2 linked regions of the Struthio camelus genome follow. The protein of the gene in region 2 interacts with the protein of the main gene of each other region in a pairwise test. Links are inferred from orthologs where the notes say so. Each region holds a gene or a part of one and is shown on either strand. Other genes may lie near its edges. The genes, in order: MCMBP and PRTFDC1.

Region 1 (9,378 bases), on a different chromosome or scaffold from region 2:
GAACTATTTATGGGAGCACAACACAGAGGAGATCACTGAAAAGACTGTTGTTAAGAGATAAGCCTCAAAACAAACAGCATTTTAACTCATTGACCTCATTTCACAGTGCAGTGTCATAAACTGCTGCCTCAGCACAACTGAAGGCTCAGCAGTACACAGCTGAAGTTAGGACCTTCCCAAGCCAACGTAGCAAAGAACCCTGCTTCCAGGACACTGGAATCCCTTTCAATTCCCCCTTATGCCTACCAGGTGCAAAAAGATCCTTAGTCGACTTCCTTTCACCATGAAAACAGCCTCTAAGCACTTCACCTTCCAATTTTTTAAGCTTCCAAGATCAAATTCAGAGGAGCTTAAGAAGATTCCCCAATAGGCCACATCTACTGGTTAAGCAGTGCGTTCTCATCTCCCCCTTCAGAAGGGCCCTCTCAAGATTCCCCATTTGACTTGCAAGGTGGCAAAAACACAACAACCCATGTCATTAGAAAAGCACAGTTTATTTCAGTTCTGTCTATATATCTTATTCTAGAGTGGCACAAGAGCTACATTTCTGGTCCAGAGGAAAACAAGTAACTGCAATAATTCCAGGAGAGGGCCTAAAAGGTGCAATGCCATATGCCTGCCCTTTTGCATCAAAAGGGGAAGTATATAAAACCAGGTCCCGGTCAAGTAGAGTTTTCTGCTTTGCAATGATCCAGTAACAAGCGACAACCAAGCGGTTTGACATTATTATAGGTCTCACAGTAAGCTCAATTGAACCTGGGACGATCTGAGCATCGCCACCCACCTGCTGAGGGAACAGCCTCTTCTGAGCAGCCAACACAATTTACAGAAGTCATAAAAGTGCTCTCATCTACTCTAGCAGTTAAATAATCCCCAGACTGTGGGGAAGAAATTGCTTCGAAGAACGATCATTGCTTCTCTGCTACTCAGTCATTAGCCAAAGAAACAAACTAAACATCCCTGCAGCCACAAGCAGTCAATAACAAATGTCTTTATCTGCAGCCGAAACAGCTAGAGTATCAAGGGAGAATAGGGGAATGCACAGAGAACTCAAACTAGGAAGCTGCTGTTCTAGTTCATTAAATGGAAAACAAATAGCTGCCATCACTAAGACCATTTTAACCATCTGCTTTTATTCAGTTGCCCTTTCAGATGGTGTCAACTGGCCAATGCAGATGATGCTTGGTGTGTTATATTCTATTTTGAGGAACAAAACATCAAACCTATGCATGCAAACGATCTTGTGGAGAACACTAAATTTCATTTATAAGTAATGACCATTATAAACTCAGGCATGTGAATTACCTTCCAAACAGAAGAATAGCCACTTATACTATGGTCTTTGTTTCTAAATATTCTCCTTTCATATTTGATAGACATCATGGAATAAAGAGCAGCGTATCGCATACCACACAGTCAGGTCTCCACTTTCCAGAATGCCCAGGAGTAGAAGAGGTAATACATCTCATGGCAATTTCAGTGCACTGCTACGTGTTAATCATAATCTAAAAAAACGAGTCAAGGCCTTTACCAAATGCCTGTGCACAAAACACCTACTATTCTTCAGTTTCGACTAGTTCGGGGAGATTAAGTGTAACAGCATGTTCCCCTGAAAAACAGGGAGTTGACTAAAGTTCTCCCAAAACAAATGTATGACAACCTTCTGTATCCCTCACAGACATCACCTTCTCATTCACAGATCATCCTCTGACAATCACAAGTGACAGATTTCCACCTTCTCATCAGGAGTACTCTTCTCTATTTAAAGTATATTGGTTACTTCATTTGCATTAGAGCCTGAGAATACCTCTTTTCTCATCAAACTGCAAAGCACAAAACACTCCTTACTCACTTTTAGAGATATAACAGATTTATCAGTGCACAAATCTTCCAGACGTGGATGTCAGAAGCAATTCCCGAGACCAGTTTCCATTACATTTTACACCATTTAGGATTCAAGCTCAATGGCTTGCTTTTCCTTGGTTCAAATTAGGGTTCAAGGAGCAAACTACTCTCTACAGGTAAATCCCTATTCCCATTAGGGAATTAGGGAAGGCAAGGGACCACAAAAGCAGAACACTTAACAGGATTGAGGCCCTACTTGGATAGATACAATGTGTGGCACATCCTCAGCAGGAGACCTTTGGCATTGAAATTGGTTCCAGTTGATTCTCAGCCCTGGTGAGGCCACATCTGGAGCACTCTGTCCAGATCTGGGCTCCCCAACACAAGAGAGACATGGAACTACTGCAGCGAGTCCAGCAGAGGGCTACTAAGACGTTTAAGGGACTGGAGCATCTCTCTGCAATGTGCCTTCTAGACATTCTGTTCTCCTTTCGCTCTACTGTTACCCAGTCAACATACTCCATCCTCTTTCTCATTGCCCAGTCTCAGTTCCCCTCCTTAATCATGCTTCTTCATTTCCTCTACCTGCCCTCAGCTTTCCTCCCCTTCTTCTTCTAGTATCTCCCTGCCCCTTTCTTTTTGGCGTTACCAGCTATGAGAAACAACACATTCCGGTCTAAGTCTACCCAGCCACAGTGAGGCTGCATCTGGAGCACTCTGTCCAGTTCTGGGCTCCCCAACACAAGAGAGACACGGAGCTACTGCAGTCAGACCAGGAGACACATTATTAAGGGACTGGAGCATCTCTCCTGCGAGGAAAGGCTGAGAGAGCCGGGCCCGTTCAGCCTGCAGAAGAGAAGACTCAGGGGGGAATCTGATCAACGCGTACAAGTATCTGAAGGGAGGGTGCCAGGAGGATGGGGCCAGCCTCTTCTCCGCGGTGCCCAGCGACAGGACGAGAGGCAACGGGCACACACTGAAACCCTTCGTCTGAACACGAAGGAAAAACTCCTTTGCTGTGAGGCTGACAGAGCACTGGAGCAGGTTGCCCATGGAGGTGGTGGAGTCTCCTTCCCTGGAGATACTCAAAAGCCGTCTGGACACAACCCTGTGCAATATGTTCTAGGTGACCCTGCCTGAGGTCCCTTCCAACCTCATCCATTCTGTGAAAAACTACGAATCTTCATCTGACCAGCTTAAGTGAGATAGAGACTACATGTTCGATCATAAATTTTGTTATTGAAATCTCATCCTCAGGTCTTCTCCATAGCTAGCTTCAAAGTCATAGAGGAAGCTGACACAGGAAAGCCATCTCTGCAAAGCTACTTAATAACTATTTTTTAAATGAAAAACATTGTATAGCGGCAACAAGAACTATAAGGATTGCACAAGTGGAAGTGGTGCATGTATCAGCTGCCTAGATACCTCACACAGGTAGGAGCGATATTCTAGTACTTTACACTACTCAAAAAGGCAGTTCAGTAGATATTTAAAGAATAAAAATGAAAAAGTGTTTCTAAGCCATACTTAACAAACATGTTTTTAAAATTACAAGGATTTACTTCATTTGTTTCCAGGCATATTAACACTTATCCTAAGTAAAATACAGCACTGTTGAAATCAGCTCTTGAATTCTGGACTCAATATGTGCCAGTCCTGTGAAGCTTAAAAATACTTGATTTCTAGATGCATTTTTACTGTTTAGGGCTTTTAATCTTAGACAGAACACACTTCCAAAAAATCTGTTCCTGTATCTGAAGTCATCTGAGCTTCAGTTTTAAGTTGTACGTACATAGGTTTGACGTACCATCCAGGCTTTGCAAGGAAGTGATATTAATCACCTAGCCTAAGCAAACAAGGAAATTTGAGGTACCTGCTTAGCATACTATTTTCAGGCAGGGAAAAAAAAGACAACGTCAGAGAGTCCTCTGAAGACTATTTATCCTACAAAACTGAAGTAAATGCCACTTTAAAAAAAATGCAATGCAGGAAGCACTGTCTGAACACGAAGGACAAACTTCTTTACCGTGAGGCTATATTAAATAGTCCTCTGCACAGAAGCATCAAAACAAAATTAATTGCTCAAACAAGAATGCTAACCTGTTAACTGGACACACGATAAAGCCTCTCCCCCTCTCTTCAGACACAGCACTAAAACCGAACACTTCAGTATCAAGCCCATGCATGAAAACAGCATACCTGAAGGAGCCTGTCTTCCCTAAAGCACCAACTCCAACAGCTGCCAGTGAAAACCAGCTCAGAAAACCTCACAGCAAAGCGACTACAGCCAAACAAAAAACTCGGCCCTCGCTAGGGAAGGGTCGAGCCAGCGTGAGGAAGGAAGCCCACCTTCCTGTTTGTTGCTCGGCGGACAGCAGGACCGGCGGATCCAAACACAGTTGCGCAACACAAGCAAAGAACAAAAAAAAAGAAAAAGAAAGAAAAAAGAGGAATCGCCTCTCTGTCCCCTCCCCCGCCCCGAGCCCGGCCACGGAGCGCAGCGGCCGCCCCGCACCTCGGGGCCTCCGGAAGGCTCCCCCCGCCCGGCCCCCGGCCCCCGCCGGGCCCACAGCCCGCTCCCCCGCGCCGGCGGCCGCCCCGCCACCCCTCGGCCCCCAGCGCCCCCGTACCCGCCGAGAGGACAGCGGAGTCCGGCGGCCCGGCTGGGGCCTGGCTGACCGGGATGAAGGGCACCGTGAAGTTGAACTCGGTGGCGGAGGAGGAGAAGAGCAGGTTGGTGCCGCCACCACCGGCCCCGGGCTTGGCCGCCGCCATGGCTGCGCTGCTTCCACGTCTCTTCCCTCGCGGCGGCCCGGCCCCTTCCGCCCTCACCGCTGCCCGCTTCCAACATGGCGGTAGCGGCGACGCGCTCCCCCCCCCCCCGCCCCGTTCCGCGCACGGGCGCGGAGAGGAGGAGGAGGAGGAGAAAGCGGGCGGGGCGGGCCTGGCCCAGCCCTGCTCTTCCCTGCCCTGGTGCCGCCGCCATTGCCGCGGCCGCCGTCAGAGGAAGAGGAGGAGGAGGAAGGCGGAAGCCGGGCGCCCCTGTGCAAGGCTTGCGGGCGGGAGAGTGTCGGCGGCAGCAGCAGCAGCGGCAGCAGGGTGCGAGGCCCCGTCACTGACGCGGGGGAGTTGGCAGCGGCCCCCCCCCGCCCCGTCCCTGGGCGAGGCTCGCCCCGCCATGCCGTGTGTAGCCGACTGGCTCAACAACCCCTTCAGCATCGTGCAGGGCATCTTCGGTGAGCGGCGGCGGGCCGGGGGCCGGCTCCCTCTCAGGAGGCGCCCGTGAGAGGCCGGGCGGGCCGGCCTGGGCGGCGGCGGGGGAGGGCCGGGGCCGGTTCCCTCTCAGGAGGCGCCCGTGAGAGGCCGGGCGGGCCGGCCTGGGGCGGCGGCAGGGGAGGGCCGGGGCCGGTTCCCTCTCAGGAGGCGCCCGTGAGAGGCCGGGCGGGCCGGCCTGGGCGGCGGCGGGGGAGGGCCGGGGCCGGTTCCCTCTCAGGAGGCGCCCGTGAGAGGCCGGGCGGGCCGGCCTGGGGCGGCGGCAGGGGAGGGCCGGGGCCGGTTCCCTCTCAGGAGGCGCCCGTGAGAGGCCGGGCGGGCCGGCCTGGGGCGGCGGCAGGGGAGGGCCGGGGCCGGTTCCCTCTCAGGAGGCGCCCGCGAGAGGCCGGGCGGGCCGGCCTGGGGCGGCGGCGGGGGAGGGCCGGGGCCGGTTCCCTCTCAGGAGGCGCCCGCGAGAGGCCGGGCGGGCCGGCCTGGGCGGCGGCGGGGGAGGGCCGGGGCCGGTTCCCTCTCAGGAGGCGCCCGTGAGAGGCCGGGCGGGCCGGCCTGGGGCGGCGGCGGGGGAGGGCCGGGGCCGGTTCCCTCTCAGGAGGCGCCCGTGAGAGGCCGGGCGGGCCGGCCTGGGGCGGCGGCGGGGGAGGGCCGGGGCCGGTTCCCTCTCAGGAGGCGCCCGCGAGAGGCCGGGCGGGCCGGCCTGGGCGGCGGCGGGGGAGGGCCGGGGCCGGTTCCCTCTCAGGAGGCGCCCGTGAGAGGCCGGGCGGGCCGGCCTGGGGCGGCGGCCAGCGGCAGCCGGCGGCTTCCCGCCTCGGGCGCCTGAGGCGCGAGGGGGCGGTGTGGGGGCGGCTCGGGGCCCGGCCCCGCCGCGGCTGCAGGGTTAGGCAGGGAAAGGCGTTCCTGCGGGAAGGGAAGGGGTGAGTTTGAAACGGCTTGCGGCGTGAGGGGAACGCCGGGTAGATGCTGATGCCGCTGTCAACGTGCGTTGTGTCGTAGCGCAAAATGATCCGAGCTCCGACTGGGAGAGGAAGGTGACCGAATATTTCAGAGAGAAGCTGAAAGAAAACAACGCTACTCACTGGGTAAGGTGGTTTTTATTCTGGGAGCGTTGCGCCGGTGCTAAGTTTCGCCCTTCTTGCCTCCTGGTGGCCGTGGCGCCCGGCTTCGGAGCAGCCCTTCGTCGGGAAAGGGGCGCTCGGCCCCGGGTTCCTCGGAAGCGCGCTTCTGAATGTTAGGCCTAGCCTTTGTAACGCGCTGTTTACGTCTCCGTTGGTAGGTAGGTAGGTAGGTAAAAACGAAGATGTAAAATCCTGCCTCAAGCCACTCCCCGTGACTTTCGGGTGGTGTGTGGGTTTTTTTTTTTTTTTTTTTTTTTTTTGGCCTCGGCCGTCGCCGCCGAGCGCCGCCTGTTTGTGGCGCCGCCCAGCAGATGGCGGGAGCTGACTAATGAGTGCTGGTGTTTCCTCAAAGCGTGATAACTAACGGGGGTTTGTGGCCGCCGTGCTGCGGCGGAGGTTTGTACGGCGCCGGGGTCCCGACTGCTGGGCAGACACCCCTCCGCTCAGCGGCTGCCCGTGCAGCGCCGTGACCTCCCTGGGGGCTGATGAAACAGCTGCTTGGTTTTTCGTCTTTGAGGCAGAGCGGGGGCGGGGGGGAAATACCATCTGCCTAAAAACTGTTCTGGATCAGGCCAGGTTTTGAAAGTGCAGGAAGGAAGCTCTCCTTTATTTTTAAAGCTAAGCAGGCACGCTTGAGCTCAAAAGGTGATGCTGTTCTGAAGGGCTGTGGGGAAACGGTGTCGTGGAGCTCTGTCCTAGTTGGACTAGGAGCTCTCAGTGTCGAATCTGTTCTATTTATGATTTAAAAAAACAAATACAAATAAAATTGTTTTTTTTTTTTGTTTTAATTTTTCTGCCAGTGAGAGAGGAATTCTGTGTTTGAGTGTCAAGGACAGTTTAAATCATAGTGTAGAGGAATAATTCTGTTCCTCCAGCAGAACTGTGTTAAATTTGCAGCAGTAGAAGGAATTAAAATAAAAACATATTTTCTTACTCAAGATGAACACGAGGGAGTATGTGAGTTGTTGTTGGTTTAGTTTTTTTGTTTGTTTAAGTCATTTTTACAGGGCCACTTTTGGTTTCATGTCATTTTAACGTTGAGTGTGATATCTTAACCAAGAGTTTATTTTAAAAACCAAAAAAAAAAACAACCTTATAGCAGGTCTCATTATTTTGATTTGTACTATATACCTGGACACCCGTTTTCCTTCTGCTTTTCTATTATCATATAAATATATGCAAAACAAACTCCCCCAGTGTGAAGGACTTTCAGATTAAGATACAATTTTTCTTCCTGTCCTTTTGGAAATACAAATATTTTGTTATAAGAAATTGTGCATGCAATTGCTGCAGTATCACTGATGCATGATGCATGGTCAAAGTGTTGTTAAATGGGAATAAAATAAGTAATAAATTTTATCTTAATATTCAGTTGAAATAATCCCCAAACTAACATTACAATCTCATATGTTGTTAAAGAGTTTACATACAGTTTCAATGAACTGAAACCCGTTTGTTTAGTCTGATATTGGAACTGAGAAATGAATGAGACTAATGGCTTTGCAACTGGAAAAATTTGGGAACTGTCAGTGTATGATAATCGTAACTATTGCCTCTAACAGCTACTGCAGAAACTTCCAGTGGTGTCAGGTATATTGTTACCTCTTGGACTGGGGCAGTAGATTTGGGGGCTAGGTGTGGGGAGAAAAGTACCCAGAAAATACTGAATCTGTTATGTGATGAGATGCTGAATTGTCAAAGGCAATTAATCTTATTGTCAATAAAATAGGCTTTGAGGCAAATAAAGTCAACAGCAGGAAACACTGAATGACCAGAGAATAAATTGGTGACAGCTTATGTGCAGTTTCTGGCTTACTTCAGGGCATTTCTCAATATTTATATAGCAGTTGTTTAGAATAAGCTCTCTTTTTCAGGTTCCGTCACTAAATGATGTTCCCCTACATTACCTAAAGCCCAACAGCTTAGTGAAATTTCGCTGCATGGTTCAAGATATGTTTGATCCTGAGTTTTACATGGGAGTCTATGAAACAGTTGATCCAAACACAAACATGCGTGTAAGTGAAATACTGTTTTGGTAAATGTTTAGCATTTTCTTCATTCCGTTCTTCATGCTTCTCTAGTTTTCTGAGTTAAACCTGTGGAGTCCAGGCACTGTCTAGTATTAACTCTATTTAAATAACTCAAATGGCATCAGTAACGTATTGCTTCGTATATTTCTGTTTATGAAGTATTGAAAACAAAATTCGGAAGGTTATTATTGCAAATGTAATTTGAGGGAATCAAAATTACTAAGGTAATGAAAGTTTGAGCAGTATGTCTTTGAAGGTTTTTAGACTGCAATAAATTTGGTGCAAGTAGTCCATATTCAGGATGTACTGGAAACGGAATAATTGCGTTGCTTTTGTCTTCTTGACAGGTTTTGCATTTTGGTAAATACAGAGACGTGGCAGAATGTGGGGTAAGTTATATGTTTTCTATATCAGATTTCGAGATGAAATATTATTCAGACAGAAAGATGCATTTTTATAAGTGCAGTATAATTTATTTGGCACTCATCAGTGAATCTCTGGAGATGCCGTTCTTAAAATTCCAAATTAAGCCCAGGTTTGGAAAGCAGAGAACTCTTAATTGCTCCTGTGCATGCTAAGTTCAGCAGTCTTCAAGCTACTTCCGTAGTATTTAAAGCTTGTTTTGCTTTTATATGCTGTTATCTGTGGTCGTTAGTTTTGGCCACTAATTCTTTGCCAAGAAGCAGGCTAGTGGAAGTGTTTTTTTGTTTGCTTGTTTTTTTAAGTCTCTTGAAACTTCCTGATATGGCAAACACTTTATTTTTGGTAGTGCAGTGCTATTAGTGTGAAAACATTATAGATTCAGACTCCTTGGAATCGTGCAAGATCGCATACTTGTGAGACGATGGCTGTTGTAACTTCTGGCTAGATACATGGTTCTATGGAATTAGCTAAAAAAAATCGATTGTTAACATCATTTATTTTTGGTATTCCAGCCTCAGCAGGAGATTGATTTGAACTCCTCACAAACAGTAACATGGGAGAGACAGACATTCTACTGCGTTCCAGTGCCTGGCGAATCAGCATGGGTGAAAGAAATATCTTTTGTCTGAGCCAATGCTCTGTTATACAAATAGTTATCACCACCAGCTAAGTCATTGGATTCTTAAATAGATAAG
Region 2 (8,844 bases):
TCACCCAGTGGGACTTAGAACCCACAAAATCATACTTTAAAACTGTGAATTTCTGTTTTAGAGATATTTTAGAATCTCACATAAATATATATTCTACAGACAAAAGAGCACAAAGGGAGAATAAATTATGTGATTCACAGACTGCATCTGTACAAGTCAATGGAAGACTGTACCACTTGTGAATGGTGAGGTCCTTAATTTAGAAGTCACCAAAGGTAAGTGTTTAAAAAAGTTCTCATCTCACTTTACTATCAGATAATCTGCAAAGCCATACATTTACTGAACAAATCTTTTACAGATTTAATATGTTAGCTTCACAACTATCAGAGCACTACGCTTAGGAGATCACATAAAATGCAACAGCAGACTACAGAGATCATGTTGGACAAAAATTGGCCAATGGGCAAAGGCTTCAGAAAGCCTTCAGAAAGCTATGAAGATGCAAAGTACACTTCAACAAAAAACAAAAACTAAACAAACTCCAAATCCACAATTTTCACATATACGTCAATATGAAAAACAACACCTCCAGGTTCATGAGACTTCTTGGAATCATTCTAGAGCTCTTGTTTTGAGATTGGTTCAGAATAAAAAGTGACACCTATTAGGTTTGCTTTACCATCACGTTCCTTGAGCAACATACTTGCCTTCTTCTTTCCACAGCTCAGGCCCATGAACATTGATTAGAAAGATAAAAGGTGAGAGACTTGCCTTTGTGAAGTGTATTTTTAATAGCATTTCTGCTAAATGGATTCCTTAAAGAATTGTCACTGAAATTAACCTATGCTTACTATTTCATCTAGTAGGACAATAAACCACGTCTCAAAAATAACTAGACTGACACAGCATATTAGATGTTAAGCTGTTCCTCCAGATTTGCAGTCTTTTTGACGTTACCCAGCTAATACTGCACTGAAACAAAGTCTTCCATCTAATAGGTTAATTTGGGGAGAGGTTGCATATTCATTGGCATCTACAGATGCCTAGACTGTCATGCCAGTCTAGGCACGCCCAATAGTTTCTGTATCAAAAGAAGTTATTTGTTGGTAAGTACTATTGAATATTGCACATGATTCAGAAAACAATAGTCAATGAAAGTATTTCCATTGATCCATAGGAGCCTTGAAACTAGACAGACACAAAAGAAGAGTTACTTAGTTACATTCCTCATTTCCATAGAAACAGTAGATCATACATACCCTCATTGTCAAAGTTTTTAATTGGGTCAGATCTCGCTACAAAAACACTGCTGCAGGAGGCCTAGCAAGCCTTTCTATGTTGTTTTCCCATCTTCATGTGCAGTACCTAGGAGCAGCTGACGCTTTTTAAGCATTTTGTAGCAATGAACTGTCTGGCATGATTTTGTTCAAAAGTATTTTAATATTTAAAGGAAACAATTTAAAATTTCCTTTTAATTGCATAAGTACTATTAACACACACTAGGAACCCATGTCAGTATTGCTTATTTAGGCAGCATTCTCATCAAATTAGAGGTTTTTAAGATTAGATGTAGAAGACTAAATTAAACGACTAGAAACGGCTTGAGAAACCACACAAACCAATAGCTTTTACTTAAATTACAGTATGTCCTTTATGAAACAAGATTAGGATGAAATTTTGATTTTTCTATCAATCTTCCTGGTTCTTTTGAATAAAAGAATATAAATTTGAAAGGATAACGAAATTATCCTGTAAAAGTGCTCACTGGCATCTGGTATATAAGATTAAATTCACATGCATTCCAATTTATTATTTTTCTAATATAATAAGCCTATTCCCCACTCATCTTTCATTTAAACAAGCACTAACCAATTACGAGCGTTCGGAATTCTAATTTACCCTGAAGCTGTCCACAGTGTTATGCTACAGGACAATTTTCAGGTAACTGTAAATTTGGAAGAGCATTCCACATGAGAATTAAAAAAATCTGTGATTGTCCTCAGCTTATATAGCTAAGTATCAAAAAAAGTCCCAACCCAAATTAAACTCAACTTCTGTTTACTTCTGGCTTTAAGCATAGAATATATAAGAAAATATATGTGACTGCTTCAATAAAAAGAGAGAAAAAAATATATATAGATATATATGCTACACATATTGCAATACAAGTGTGTAAAAAGCCATATAGTAAAATCAACAAACAGCTTTTTTTTAAGTTCAGATTTGGCATGTTCAAACAGGCCAGCAGAAATTCAGACTTAAAGAGCTGATGTGAATGTATACTATCAAAAATATAAATACATGGCAACGTCTGAAAGTGTTCCATCATGAGGAGCATGAAGGAATATGAGGAATATTGAGGCACACGAGAGAAAGTAGAGAAATCCGACTGCAATACCTTTGGAAGCACGTTGCTAGTTTTGTACAAAAGGTGGGTGCACATCACGTTTAAGCACAGTAAATATTTCCACTTAGGTAACAAAGACCTAGATTCTGCTTTAGTATAAAATAAGTGAGCTGAGCATCAAGTAAACTACAACTTTGGTAAACTTAAACTATATCATACTACATTAGCCTTACTTTTGGTTTCTGGAGGCAGAGGTATGAGGGTGCATGTGCACGTGTGTGTATCAAACAAAAGAAGAGAAATCAGTACAGCAGAACATGCTTTCTGAACATTCAGCCTCTCCTCTGCAAGATCCCCAGTTTGCTTTGGTGCTAAACACAGTCATCCACTTTAAAAATGGCATTTATTACCAAGGTGTCACAAGTGACAATTGGAACGCAGCGGCTTCAGGCACAGCTCAAACATAATTCTGCCATTTTGGGGAGGAGGGAAATGGAGGGGACTTTGGGGCAGGCAGGATTTAACCATTACCTAAGCAAAACTCTCAGCTCTGGGCTACAATTTGGACTGTTGTTCTGGAATTTGGTTAAAACACCCACACTACACTGAAATAAAAACGTTTCTGAAGTGGTGAGAACCCCTGAGTTTGACATCTGTTTTACAGAAGAATCTGCTTTGTCCCTCAGAATAATGAATATATATATATATATTTTGCTTTTAGCATAATTTATTCAACCTAATAGGTACTCAGAACACAAGGCCACATGCATTATTTTTCCTACTACAGAAAAACAAAATACGGACAACCTCGCAGGGCGTTTTTACCAGAGCTCCCAGATCTCCCCAAAGGTATCTAAGCTTTCCAGTGCGCACCAGACACTCATACACCTTTGGGGATCTTCTGCTCAGTTACTCAAGCAGGGACGTATCTAACAGCCGAAGCCATCGCTGCAGACGACGCAGAGGACGGATGGGGCTTTCTAGGTGGAAGCCCGCGGCGCGGCCGCGTTAGGCGAGGCGGCCCGGCCGGCCCCGAGCCCGGCAGCGCCTTCGCGCACGGCCGCTCGCTTTCCTCCTGCAGCAGCCAGACCCGTGCGAGGCGCGGTGGGGTGGGACGCTCCAGAGAGACAAGCGAACAGGGAGACACCGAGGGGGCGGGGGAGGGCCCGGCGGGCCGGGGCTGCGCGGGGCGGCAGGCGGCGCCGCGGCCCTGAGGCGACGGCGAGGCCTGCGGCGGCCTCGGGCTGCGGGGCCGGGGCACGGGCGCAAGGAGCGGAGCCCCGGGCGCCGCGCCGCGCCGCGCCGCGCCGCGCCGGGCCGGGCCGGGCCGGGCCGGGCCGGGCCGGCGGGGGCGCCGCGGCGGCCGAGGAGCTGCACCGGGGGTGGGCGGGCAGCGGGGAAGGGAGGGAAAGGCGGCCCGGAAGGCGGGAGGGCGCGCAGCAGCGCGGGCAGGGCGGACGCGTCCATTTACCACAACGCCGCGGCCTCCGCCTCCGCGCGCCGCCGCGCCGCTCCCGCCTTGCCCGGCCATCTTGCTGCGCGCCCGCCCCCGGCGCTGCTGCGGGCGGGCCGGGGCTGGAGCCGCGCCGCCCCCCGGCGCCGCCCGTCGCCCGGGCCGAGCTGCGCGGCCCCGCAGCGCTTCCCTTCTCCGCGCGAGTTACGCAGGCAGTAACGTTCCCGACGCAGGCTGAAGCATGGAGGACAGGAGCCTCAGACAAGCTCCGTCGTCTTCTCCTATGACAAGATAAAGCTTAATCATTAGAGGTCTCTTTTTAACGGAGAAAATACTGATGATAACGTGCTAAAGCATACGTAAGGCGTCACAGGGTAGCTGTTAACAACGAACTCGGGAAGGAAACGGCAGTGTCTTTGCCGTTCTCGCGGCAGGGGGAGGGAGCAGCCTCGGCGCCCCCCCCCCCCGGGGCGGCGGCGGCGGCGGCAGGCGAGGGGGCCGGACGGAGGCAGGCAGCGGGCCTGGGCGTCCCGAGCTGCCTGCGTTGAATGAAACCGGTGTGGTTCAGACTGACATTGTAGCAGGTTTGCGCTCATATCCTAGGGAAGTAAAGGAGGCCAGAAAGCAGGCGGTTGCAGCACGTCAGTAATCCTGCCTTCCTTCCCGGCTGGCTGCTGAACTGCTGCCCCTTCTTCCCCTCCGTGCTGCAATAAGCTGTGGCTTCCCGTTTCCTTCAGCCCGCCTCTGTTCCTCGTGCTGTCTGTTCACTAAAAGGAGAGCATTTCAGGAGGCCATTCCGATTCTGTGATGATTTTGATTCTGCAAAAATTGTCAGTATTGCTGTTTTGCTTTTACAACCTGCCAGCTGAGAAAGCTTCCTTCTTCTCTTGGGTTACTCTGATCATTGTCTACCTTTAATGCTTCCATTTAAGAAGCTCAAAATTGATGGACTTGCTCTATCTTTTTTGTACCCTGTCTTTTAGGGGAAAATGCTAACAGCCTCTCAGTCCACTGCAGATTAAACTATAGTGGCAGTTAAAATTATCTTGTGATGACTGCTTTGTTTCCTGTAAAAAACCAAAATATTTGCTTTTTAATGGGTTACAGACCTACTCTTACAAGAACTATCACAACTGACAACATAGCTGAAAGAACAAAGGACCAGGTTTACAGAGTGACAGAGGCTCAATCCAGAGTATTTCTGTCTTGGAAGCGATCACCGTATATGAAGACTGAGGTGTGCTGGAAAAAGATTCTATCTGTTCACAGAGTCTTAAAATGAGCTTAGCGAAAGGTGGCGAATTTGATAAAGAGCATGTACGGATTTGTAAAAACCTACATCAAGTAAATAAAATTATTTCTGTAAGCTATATCTAGATCTTCATAATATGGAGAATCCCTAAATCCTTTTGCGTTTCTGACGCATGTCAATATTTCTTACAACTATTCAGAAAGAAAGTCTACTGTTTCATCTAAACTTTGGGATCAAATGCCACTGATTTGTACAAACAAGCACTTCTGAAGATCTGAAGATTTTTCTTGCCTGAAGGTGTGGAGAAAGCCCATCTAAAGCCCACATGCATCCTAAAGTGAATGCAATCTGATTCAGTTACCTCCATGTTACAGATAAAGTTCTCCTGCATAAACATCACGGAACTGGGCTCTACAGTTTTAAAGCTGCTTAGATTACAGTTACAATTTCAGCGTTTTGCCAATGCTGTATGCCTACTGGTTTCTTTTACCATTTGAATTTGTTGGGTTATTTTTACAGAATTTGTGCCTCTTAACCATGTCTTTTATAGGACCACAGGAATACAAGAGAGCATTCTAACTGCATCACAGACAGAACACCACAGACAGTAGTTCAGAGATTTGGAAAAGATTATCATGAACAAGAGACTGAAAAATAAATTCCTCTGGCATTGTGCTGATAAACTTAAACAGGAAATGTTTGTTCTTCCTGTCCAGGTTGGATGACTGCGTTCTGTCAAACCTTCCTTTTGGTATTCTCCCCTTCCAATAGTTTTACTGGGCTCACTTCAGAAGCATAAAGAAGTGTCATGTCTTGCTAATAATAATAATAAATAGGAATATGGAAATGAAAAACTAAATAAATTTAGCTGGGGTACAGTTTGAAGAGTAGTGCTGCTATCAACAGCCACCAGTCCAATCCATCAAACTGCTCTTCTGCATGTAAGACTACTCATTGACATAATATAAAATGTAATTTTTTTTTCCAGTTTTGGTACAAATGAGAAAACAAATTGTGCTTCTGGAAACCCATAGAAGGTTCTTTGGGCATGATGGAAATGAAGCTGCTAAGGATTTTCCTATGGAGGTATATGTATGTACCGAAAGTTTACACAGGCTTTTACAGTTTGAACTGGCATACCATTCATAAGTTTACAGTAGATTTTGAAAACCTTTTTAATTAGAGCCAAAACAGGATTATCAGCCTTAACTTTGAAAAAGATTGTACGAGTTCTGAAGAACCTTCCTGTTATCTTTGTTTACATGTTTGTTTACAAACTAAAAATAGTAGGAAAAGAATGAACACTTTCAGATATACAACCATAGGAAATGATCAAAGGGGAAAAGAACAAAGAAAATAGAGTAGAAGAACAGTGAACTCATACTAACAAGTAGGTCTGGACACATAGCCAAAAAACATAAAGGAACAGATGGAAAAAGCGACACAGACAGAAGCAAAGCAGAGTTATGGCTTAAATGCAAATCTCTTGTGAAAGGAGTTACACCTTGGGCCTCTACAAAAATAACTCTATAATTTCAGTTACACATCCTTTCCCCTCTTATCCTGCTTCTGATGATCATAAAGCAGCACATGTAGTATCCACCCTTTCACAGCTATAATGTAAAGAAATAACAAAAACAGAAGGTTGGAGGTGAGTATATATCGAGAAAGTAGTACAAAACAGTATCATGGAGTTGCCAGTTAGCTTTTGCAATTGCATTATAAATTCTTCTCCTGAGAGGTTATAACAAAGATTTGACAACTCAGTTCAGTACGTAAGAGATAGCGGATGTCTTATCGTTACTTATTTCAAGTAAACACCAACAATAAAAAAAAAACAACATGAAAGTTCAGAATATTTCAAGAGGTATGGCTTACCTGGGCAGAAGCCTGCCAATTAAGGGATGAAGTAAGAGCTCTTATTCTGGTTCTGCCTGTTGCTGCAGCTCTTACACAAAAAGCAGTACGGTAAACAATCTTATCAAGCATAAAGCGGCATTTGTTGGCTGTTACAAGGTAGGTGAATCCCCCTATTGCTGCAGGGAAAGATGCTTACCTTTTTAGGTAAGAAAGATAATCGCTGAAGAGAATACTAAAAAGTAAAGTGTACCAGATAAATACTTCAGGGTATGTTGAAAGCAGTTTAGAATTGCTTTCATATCCAACTTTAATACATTCCAGAATTCCGAGTTACCTTGCATTACCTGAGGCAGTTCCCAAATCCTTAGGGTGGCTGCTGAAGAGCGGGACTGCAGCAAAAACTATGTGCCAGACTGTTAACAGACACCTTGCACAACAAGGAGTGGTACTTCAAACTGCTCTCCTACATTCAAGAACCTGGGGACACTTTGGGAAAAGCTGTCCAATTAGGCAGATTAGCTGGGTAGCATCCTACTTTTTTGCGTAGCGTAGACACTGTTTAATTTCCCCTTTGCAACTACTGTCATAAAGCAGCTAATGGAGTGGCACTGCAAGCCGGAATCTAACTTCTTTCCACCTTCAATTTCAGCAGAACCAGAGAATGCCGTTGAACATTGGGAAGTTCAGCTTTCAAACAACTGCAGTTTCTGAGACCTAAAAGTGAAATTCAGAATATTCAACTATTACAGTTAACCTCTATTGAGATGTCAGTCTGTTTTAATATGGTGTTTAAATCAGGATTAGATGCTGCTTGAGGGATTTCTGAATTTTGACTTATTTGTTCCATGATAAACATCTTTAATACAAAATTGCATTTTTGTTTATTATTCATCTCACTGTGTGAGACTAGAGCAACTAGTAGCTTCACTTTGCAATTTCCTGGCTCCTGAAGATACAGTTTCTGCTTTTCAGGTTTATGTTATTAATATAATGTTTTTTTATAGTTGAAATAAATGCAAACAAATGTTTCCTTTTGTCCTTTAATATTAGAATAATGTTTATTTATTTCATAGGATTATGGAAATATTGTCCCCACCAGCTAATGAGAAGTATACACATTTGAATGATAAAGCATTATTATCCAGTTAAGCTCTTCATGTTATATCCTGTGACAAATTCATCACTTGTGGCCATGAAAACTAGTCAGGAAATTGTAAATTTATAGTGGGTCACACCCAATGTATTGAATTTAACTGCTAGAGAGAGGTTTTGTTTTTGTTTTTTTTCCTAAGGAAGTTGTTCATTTGGCTTCCCCTCCACACACACACTTTTTTTTTTAAGCTACAGCAAATTTGAACAAAATCTGCAAAGCAGAGGAATTCTGAATGTTTCAAACAAGTAAGTGGATAACAGTGACTGATTTTTCATTGCCAAAATAGCTCAGTCTTCTTTGATGCAATTTTGTATACTTCACAGCTTGCCTTGAATAAACAGTGCAGTAAAAAAAAAGTGTATTGAAAAGCAGAATCTAGTCCAGCAAGTTCTCCTGTAGGGTAGGCATGTTAAATGTTCATGGCTGGCCAGCTGCTGAACTCTATTGCTGCACAGAAAGGCCCACTCCCTAAGAGCACTGGAATGCTGGATTTGGACCATTTGCTAATTTTATCATTCTGTGTACAAAACAGACCATTCCCTCTGAACAAATATCAAAATGTGGTTGTTTATTCTTCCTTGAACATGTGGCCCTAAGTACTGCACAAAATCTTTTTTCCTCTGAAGAGAGAGTTATTATGTTGGTTCCTGAGCTTTAATATGGCCCTTAAAGTAATAATGGAACAGTTCTAGGGGTACTAGTTTATCTCTACAACAGTTCTGTGAATTAGAAAGCAATCTGAATTTTCCATATCACCCCTAGCAAGATTAAATTAAACAATAACTTCATCAATTTTGAGGTACGATTTGAGATAATAGTTTTCAAACTATTATACAGTG

The links.
Region 1: the proteins of PRTFDC1 (region 2) and MCMBP interact in binary tests that used the Homo sapiens proteins (3 or more experiments, as listed by UniProt). The two-hybrid records come from large-scale screens. The link is inferred for Struthio camelus from reciprocal best matches to the Homo sapiens genes PRTFDC1 and MCMBP.

What each region holds. Positions count from the first base shown.
Region 1 is NC_090948.1:6,959,047-6,968,424, forward strand, and holds the start of MCMBP (mini-chromosome maintenance complex-binding protein), read left to right. Parts: upstream 1-5,023; coding exon 5,024-5,081; intron 5,082-6,108; coding exon 6,109-6,194; intron 6,195-8,104; coding exon 8,105-8,265; intron 8,266-8,607; coding exon 8,608-8,649; intron 8,650-9,378. Other genes in the region: SEC23IP (SEC23-interacting protein), read right to left, coding at 4,476-4,620. UniProt on the Homo sapiens protein: Associated component of the MCM complex that acts as a regulator of DNA replication.
Region 2 is NC_090943.1:20,347,728-20,356,571, reverse strand, and holds the start of PRTFDC1 (phosphoribosyltransferase domain-containing protein 1), read right to left. Parts: upstream 3,845-8,844; 5' UTR 3,819-3,844; coding exon 3,759-3,818; intron 1-3,758. UniProt on the Homo sapiens protein: Has low, barely detectable phosphoribosyltransferase activity (in vitro). Binds GMP, IMP and alpha-D-5-phosphoribosyl 1-pyrophosphate (PRPP). Is not expected to contribute to purine metabolism or GMP salvage.